2 linked regions of the Canis lupus familiaris genome follow. The protein of the gene in region 2 interacts with the protein of the main gene of each other region in a biochemical or structural test. Links are inferred from orthologs where the notes say so. Each region holds a gene or a part of one and is shown on either strand. Other genes may lie near its edges.

Region 1 (4,180 bases), on a different chromosome or scaffold from region 2:
GTTGCTAAACGCTGAGGAGTTGAGAGAGAGAAGGGTAAAAGGACAGGAGACGGAGGGGGAGGGGAGCAGGGAGGGAGGAGGCGGAGGAGGGGACGGAGGGGGACGGTGAGCGAGGGGTAGAGCTACAGCACAGCGACGAGAATTGCAGGGCAGAGCCCCGGAGCCCACTGCAGCAGCGTGCCCGCGGGCAGCGGAGACCTCTCCCAGAGCATCCACTGCCGCCCAAACGTCCCGGCTGGGGCCGCTGCCCAGGCGTCCTCCGCCCACAAGCGAGCACCTGCCCTTCCGGACGGTCTAACAACTCGCAGTTTCCCTACTCCTGCAGCAGTGGGGGCCTCACTGGGTGCTCAGCCTCCACACCCACCACCCCCATCCCCGCCTACCTCCCCCCTGCACCTCCCATCCTCCTCCTCCCACTCCCTCCTCCTCCCTGGTCCTCCCCCTCTCTGGAGGGCCCCCTCGCAGCCTGCCGCCCCAGCTACGCTGCGTTTGCTAGGTTCCGAGGCTGGGGGGCAGCAGCCACTTGCTGCCCGGCCGCCGGGGCTCCGGGCGCCAGCGCAGCCCCCGGCAGAGCTCGGGGTGTCAGGGCGGCCGCGGGGAGGCATGATCTACTACACCGCAGTGCCAACGTCAGGAGCCTCCGGCGCCCGGGCGGCCACTGCGGGACGCCCGGGGCCCCGCCCCCGCCCCCCAACGCAGCCCCAGACACAAACACCGGCCCCCGGGCCCTCCCCAGCCTGAACTGACCCGGGGACGCCGCGCACCCCCGCTGCCCGCGCGCGCCTCGCAGACTGGCTGCGCCCAGCCTCCTCGCCGGCGCGCCGCCGCTGCCACGCAGCCCTCCGGCCTGGCCTCCCCCGGTTGCTCGCCCACAACTTCGCGGCCGCCCCCAAACGCCTCAGCTTGGGATACCGGGAAGTGAACCCCCGGGACTCGACGCCCCGAATCACCTGCATTTGCATTTCTTATGTAATGCACTGCAAGTTTCCCGGTTGGAGCTTACGGAATAGGGACGCAAGATCACCGGAGCCTGAAGCTGGGACCCACCGCCCCGCTCGTCCCACCCGTGGGACTCGGGCGCAGGGTCTTGACACTGCCTTTTAAAAGGGGCTTTCAAATTGCATACATGAGAAGGACTGGGCTCGTCTTCTCCGTCTGGGGTTGCCCCGGGCATAAGCCCAGCTCAAGTATTCCCAGTGGCAGGAGGTGTCGGAGGCAGACGGGGGATGAGTTAATACTCGTGCACCGAGAACTAGACGGGGGAGGGAGGCGGGGGCTGACGGAGGAGCGGGGCCGCGAGGGAGAGGGCCTCTTCTACTTTGGTAAAGGTGATGGGGTGGCGAATATTGTGCAAGCTAATCGGAAAGTCTAGAGCAGGTCCTCGGCACCTAGCTACGTCCCTGAACCTGCAGCAGGAGTGAAGAGAGCTCGCGGGTCTTTCTCCTGGCAACTACCGAAGCTTCAGCTGCCTCGGGCAAAACCTTAAGCCACAGCCCTTCAATATTTCACCAAACATAGGCAACCAAATACATTAAAAAAAAAAAAAAAAAGTTTCCTCCTCCCTCCTAGTGATGGATCGTGTCACAGCCAAGAGATGCTGATCATGGTTTTCGGGCTCAGAGACGCCGATCCAGCTGTTACTTGTTTATCCATCAACACCTCTATATGCAACACTGTCCTGGTTCCTTTTCTGTTTCCCCTGCCTTCCTGCATAGCAGAACTGCAGATCTAGCTCAGTGAGCAACAGACAGGTTATTATGAGGAAAAACATAACATGATGCATGTTTTGCTTACCAGTTGGGTTCTTGTTTTTCTTAAGACTCTTGCCACAAAGACACTGCAGCATATGCGTTCCTTTGCTGAAAATGTTCCAAAGAAACCACATTGATTTGGGCGAAAAGCAATCCAGCAGCTTAGACACCCTGAGAAAGAAGAGATCCTTGTGGTTGCATAATAATAATTTGAAATCAGTTCTCCTGAAGAGGGGCACCGGTTTTACCATAGGAAAAACGATAATATTCCGGATCTTCTCCCAGTTTTTTCCCCTCACGTGGTATATTTCTTTGAGACTTCTCAGTGATTGTTTTTTTTCGGCCAGGGTGAATGATTTATCCCCCTCGATCACCACTGGATTATTACCAAAGGGTTGGAAAAAAAATCCTTTTTCAGCATGAAGCCAAACAAAAAAGCAAAGAAATCCCAACAGAGACCAGAACTAATCAGAGAGAACAGTAATGCACAAAAGATCCCCAAAGAGAAAACCATAGCCTTTTACTTGATCGCTATGAGGATGGGTGGGTCTGCAGAAGGCAAAGCAGGATTCATCTCACTGAGAGAAGACTGCCATTGTGTAGCCCCTAGGAGAGAAGAAAAAAAAAGGAAAGAAAGAAAGAAAGAAGAAAAAAAAAAGAAAAAAAAAAAAAAACACCAGCACACACACACACACCAATACCACCTCCGAGATCGAGTCTGACAGCCGAAGACAGAGCCTCCCTTCGCCCTGTGTCGATTTTTTTTTTTTTTATAATCAATCGCCAGTGCTCAGTGGGATCGGATTGAACCTGCAGTTCTCAATCACCACGAAGAAAAGATGCAAATCCAGGTGCCCCCTCCCCTTGTCAGGCTGGTAGTAGGTAGAGAGCGCCACAGATCCCCTTCCTCCTTCCTGTCACTCTCCCAGTTTCCAACAACGGTGAGCATGAGGAAAAGCTCCCCTCCGGATTCCTCGCCCAGCCTCGGATGTGAGTTACAGGCATTAGAGGGAGGAGGAGGAGGAGTTGAAGTTTGCATTGAAAAGACTGGCTTTCCATGACGTAGCCACGTGCTTTCAGACCCGTCACCAGTGAGATGCTTCAACCCGCCCGGGGAGGGCAGTGTCACTGCAGTCTCTCCGCTACTTTCCCCCTGGAAGTCCCTCCTAGCCGGCACCCAGCCCCAGCCCCAGCCCCAGCCCCAGCCCCAGCCCCAGCCCAGCCCCAGCCCCAGCCCTGGACCCTCTCCTTCCTCTGCCCAGAATGAGTCGGCGGGCTGCTGGCTCCTGGAGCCATCTAACAGAGTCTTCTGTTAAAAGTGCATTTTTAAAAGGAAAATTAACCATTCTAATTAGTAGACCTTAGAAAATACATGAGAGGGAAGGGGTTTAAAGAGAAATAATAGTTTATTACCGCCCCTCCCAGCCAAAATGAGCTCCACCTTACTTACATTTGCAAAAACAGCATCGAAAGCCTCCAAAACATTAAAGAAGACTCAAGTTCCTTTAGTTATTATTTGAATTCTACTTAAAGTGCTCTTTGAAAAATATAGACTAGGCATATGACAAATATGTACTTATAGAAACAGCCTATTAAAAAGACAACCACTAAAATCTAGGCGGCAAGCTATATTTTGCTGGAGAGGGTCATATGAAAAAAGTTAGCACCTTTTCTAGGCAGACAACCCATTATCTTTAAATAATTTTTATGAACAGAAAGCACTCTGCTTAGATTACCCTAGTTCATTGCTTGTTTCTGCACCCATTAACTGATCTAACATTGAATTCACCTTCATTCCCTTCTCATCTGTGCTAATATATAACCTTGTCACCTGCCACCACCATCTAACCTAACAAAATGGACAAATTTTCTATTTCACCAGGATAAAACCTAGCTTCCTACTTTCTCAGAAAATCAGAAGATTTAAGGCAGAACTAAAGATTTCATCTTATTTGGGGAAAAAATACAATGTATAAAATAACACAAGCTACCACAAAGAATAATATCACAATTCCTGTGTACTCACGACTCAAACTAACAAATATTGGCATTTCAACATATTTGTGACCTGAGCATTTCAGAAAAGAAGAATTGACCACTCTCACTCTTGTTAAGTAAATGAATTAAAGTTATGGCAATTTATTTCCATTTTATGGAAAACTGACATAAAAGTTTTAGTTTAAAAATGTTTTTAGAAACTCCATTTTAATGCAAAAAATTTAAAACTACAACCTCCACTACGTGGGACAGCAAACTATCTCATAAAGAAAGAGCCATCGATTTCTATTGTTGAGGATTGAGAGATGAAATCGATTTTAAAGAAAATTAACCCCTTGGTTATCAGTTATCAAAAAAATTTTTAATGTAATAACTATCCCACTGCTAGAGTTTTCTAATATCTACTAGTCATTTTGAGATGTCAAAATTTG
Region 2 (4,176 bases):
AGCAGTTTAAGTCTGATTCCCCTGAGATTCCTACCAGAATGGTACCGGATGCTAATGTTCTCCAGCCATTTGCATTACACATCAAAAAAAAAAAAAATTGGGGGGTGGGGGAAGGAAAGAAAAAAAAGTCCCCTCACCCCGCATTATCTTCTAATGCACGGGGAGAAAAGAGAGGTACAGAGAGATGGTGAAACAGCGAAAGCCTACCACACCCGAAATCTCTTTTGCAAAGCTAAAACATCCCCCAGCCCTGACACATCGATAGCTCTCTGAAGGCTCTCCAGGTTCAAACTTGAGAAAATAGTTATAAAAAGCACTATTCCCCCCTTTGCTCCCAAAGCCCTCACCCACATTTCCTGCTTCCATTCCTGCTTCTCCGGTGCCCGCCGTGCACTAAAAAGAATTTTCCTCGGGCGGCAGAGCTGGCTCCATGCTAATGATTTCTCCCTCTCCCTGAATTAGCCAGATGCAGTGCCAAGTTTCTCCCCCCTCTCCCCAAACAGATGACATCCTTTAATCCTGAACCCTGAGGCCCAGAATCTTGGAATCTCCCGATATAAAATGCATCCCCCCCCCCCCCCCGCCCGTGTTTCAAAAACTGCAATGTAAGTGAGGAAGAGGGCACGGGCACAGGCACAGGGTGGAGTAGTTGGAAGGAATGCATGGCTCGAAGAATCCTATTTGTCAGACTGCAAAAAATGATTCGCACTCCCCCCACCCCCCAACACCCGACCTCTAAGCTGAGGCCTCCGCAGGGGTCTGAAGGCCCCGGCTAAGCCCCCACCCCCCCTGGAAAGTTAACAGCCAAGTCTCCACCGGTGGTTGCCGCAGGGATGGAGCTGAGCTCTAAGCAAAAATGCAGAGGCTCTGCGGTCCCCCAGGGACCAAGTGGGAACCAGAGAGGAGGGGTCCAGGTCTCTGCAGCTGGGAGTCCTGTAAGCCGAGCGCGAGGAAGCCCGGGGCGCTGCTGGCAGGGGTGGGGGGGGAAGGGAGGGAGGAAGGAGGAGAGCAACGAGCTCCGCATCGGGTGGCGTAGGGATGGGGGTGGGGGAAGGGGGGATTCTGAAAGTGATGTGCTCCCCACTGCAGGAATCCTGGCCTGCCCAGGAAGGTCCCGGGGGCCCCCCGCACCGCCCCAGAGCGCCCAGCCAGGCAGGGACGGGCGCACCCCAGGAAAGGGCAGGGGGAGTCCCGGGCTGCTGCGGCCGGTAACGACCCGGAGCCCGGGGGGGGGGGGGGGGGGGAGGCTGCGGCAGGGCGCGGGGGAGGGGCAGGGCGGCCCCGACCCGACAGCGAGGCCCTCCCCGGGGAGCCCGCGGGGCCCCGACCGGTCCCGGCCTCCGCCTCCGGGGGGCTGCACCGCCGCAGGGGCCCGCGGGAGGCCAGCGCCCCCCGAGCGGCCCGGGCGCGACCTCCCCGCGGCGACCCGCACGCACGGCCGAGGTGCGAGCCTCGCAAACAGCCGTCCGCCAGCGGCGGCCCCGACCCCGGCCCCGACCCCGACCCCGACCCCGGCCCCGACCCCGGCCCCGGCCCCGAGCCCGAGCCCGACCCCGCCGCGCGCCCTGCGGCAGAGCCCCCGGCGCGGGATGGGCGAGGAGCGCGGGGAGGCCGGCCCCGGGCGACTTACGGCGGCGGCGAGGGCGGCGGCGGCGGCGGCGGCGGCCCTAGCGCGGGGCCCGGGAGGCGCGGCCGGACTGCAGAGGCGCCGGGGCTGCGGCGGGCGGGACTGCGGTGGGCGCCATCTTGAGGCTCCCCGCCCGCCCCCCGCGCCCGCCGCCCCGGCACGAGCCCCGCCGCGCGCCCCCGCCGCCGCGCGCCCCCGCCCCGCCCCCGCCCCCGCCCCCGCCCCCGCGCCGACCCCCGCCCGCGCCCGCCCGCGCCCGCGCCCGCGCCCGCGGCCCACCTACCCCTGCAGGACGCGCCCGCTCGCCCGCAGCGCGCCGCGCCGCCCGCCTGCCCGCCTGCCCGCCTGCCCGCCCGCGCTCGCTGGCTCCCGGGCCGGAGTCCCCGCGCCGCCCGGACCGGATCCGGGGCGAGGCAGCAGGGCGCCGGCAGGGGGCGCCGCGCCCGAGCGCCTCGCGAGCGTCCCCGGGCCCGCCTCCCCGACGCCCCCGCGGAGCCGCGTGCAGGGCGGGGGGGGGGGGGCGCACCGGGCTGGGCGGCTCCGGTCGGCGGCGGGACACCCGCCAGCACCGGGACCTGGAGCCCGAAGGTGCCGGCCCGCCTCCCCGACGCCCCCGCGGAGCCGCGTGCAGGGGGGAGGCCGGGGGGGGCGCGGAGTGGGGGGCGCACGGGGCTGGGCGGCCTCGGGTCCGCGGCGGGACACCCGCCAGCACCGGGGAGAGGAGCCCGAAGGTGCCGGCCCGCCTCCCCGACGCCCCCGCGGAGCCGCGTGCAGGGGGGAGGCCGGGGGGGGCGCGGAGTGGGGGGCGCACGGGGCTGGGCGGCTCGGGTCCGCGGCGGGACACCCGCCAGCACCGGGGAGAGGAGCTCGAAAGTGCGGGCCCGCCTCCCCGACGCCCCCGCGGAGCCGCGTGCAGGGGGGAGGCCGGGGGGCGGGCACGGGGGGCGCGCACCGGGCTGAGCAGCCGCGGGACGGCGGGGGAGCTGGAGCCCGAAGGTGCGGCGTGACCCTGGTGGAGGCCGCGAGTCTCACCTGTCTCCGGAGCGGCGGCCGCAAGGGCGACGCCCCGCAGTCCGGCCAGGCTCCGCTGTCGGAGAGCCGACACCCCTAAGCACAGGCAACTCCATCTACAGGATCTTGGGGCGGCTGAAAGACAAACCAAACACACACACACACACACAAACCCAAAACCCAAAACAAAACCAGAAATCCCGCAGCAGTCTATCAGCAGCGGTTGGAGCGTTGGGATTCGGCGCACGGGGCCCCGGTGGCGGGAGGAGGGACACGCCGCATCCCTGACGGCCCCCAGGTGGGCCGCTGCGTAAGGGCACCTCCATCCTTTCGGACCTCGGCAGGCGCGAACGTCTGAACCGCCTAGGAGGAGGCGGACGGTGACAGTGAGAGCGCCCCTCAGTCAGGGTCCCCCTCCTACAGGTGTCTTCCCACCGCAAGTTCGGTGGCCAGGCTGCCGCTCACCGGCCGCGTGGCTTTGGAACCCGATCAGCCTGTCTACACCGCAGGAAAAGACTTGCAGACGCTGTCAGTGAGAGCGAGCGACCGCGGCACCAACCTGGGCGGCTCGTGGGGAGGCTTGGAGAGAGGGCATCTCACCTGGCGCGCGGTGTGCCCATCACGTAGTGGGCCAATGCCTACGTTTTTAAGTATCTTTACCGAGATGTATGTGACATGCGATAAGCCACGCAAGTTTAGAGTGCAGAATTTTGATGTGTGTGTACACGCAGGAAATTATCACCACCATCTACCTACCCGTCACCTCCAACATACCCGTCACCTCCAAAAGGTTCCCCTGCCTCTTTGTAATCCTTCCATGTATCACTCTCCCACTCTCTCTCTCTCCAGGCAACCACTAATCTGCTTTCTATTACTGTACATTAGTTTGCATTTTTCAGAATTTTAAATACATGGAATCATACAGTATGTACCTCTCTTTTTCTTTTTTTTCTTTCTTTTTTATTTTACTTTATTTTATTTTGTTTTATTTTATTTTATTTTACTTTATTTTATTTTATTTTATTTTGTTTTGTTTTGTTTTGTTTTGTTTTATTTTATTTTATTTTATTTATTTTTTTTTGGTATGGCTCCTTCCTCTCACACAACTGTCTTGAGATTATCCTGCTGTTGATGCCACAGTTGCCTATCAATAGCTAATTTTTTTTTTTATTGCTGAGTAGCGTTCATTATAGGAATATACACAGCGTGTGTATCCAGTCACTTGTTGATGACATTTAGGTTATTTCCGGATTTGCCTATTAAAAATAAAGCTGATAGTGTTTGTGTGCAAGTTTTTGCATGAATATGCTTTGTGTGCATATGCTTTAATTTGTCTTGGGTATAAATGTCTAGGAATAGAATGACTAAGTCCAATTATAGGTGTATATTTAACTTATTAAGAAAGGGCCAACCTACTTTCCAAAGTGATTGTGCCATTTTATAGTCCTACTAGCAGCATATGAGAGTTTCAGTTACTCCGCGTCTTTGGCAACATTACCTATGATCTTTTGTCTTTTAGCCATTCTAACTGGTGAGTA

The links. The genes of interacting proteins can lie anywhere in the genome.
Region 1: the proteins of SCN8A (region 2) and FGF14 form a complex in vitro, tested with the Homo sapiens proteins (2 studies listed by BioGRID). The link is inferred for Canis lupus familiaris from reciprocal best matches to the Homo sapiens genes SCN8A and FGF14.

What each region holds. Positions count from the first base shown.
Region 1 is NC_049243.1:52,137,887-52,142,066, forward strand, and holds the start of FGF14 (fibroblast growth factor 14), read right to left. Parts: upstream 2,804-4,180; 5' UTR 2,003-2,803; coding exon 1,795-2,002; intron 1-1,794. UniProt on the Homo sapiens protein: Probably involved in nervous system development and function.
Region 2 is NC_049248.1:43,303,492-43,307,667, reverse strand, and holds the start of SCN8A (sodium channel protein type 8 subunit alpha), read right to left. Parts: upstream 2,807-4,176; 5' UTR 2,660-2,806; intron 1,941-2,659; exon of another isoform or gene 1,911-1,940; intron 1-1,910. UniProt on the Homo sapiens protein: Pore-forming subunit of a voltage-gated sodium channel complex assuming opened or closed conformations in response to the voltage difference across membranes and through which sodium ions selectively pass along their electrochemical gradient.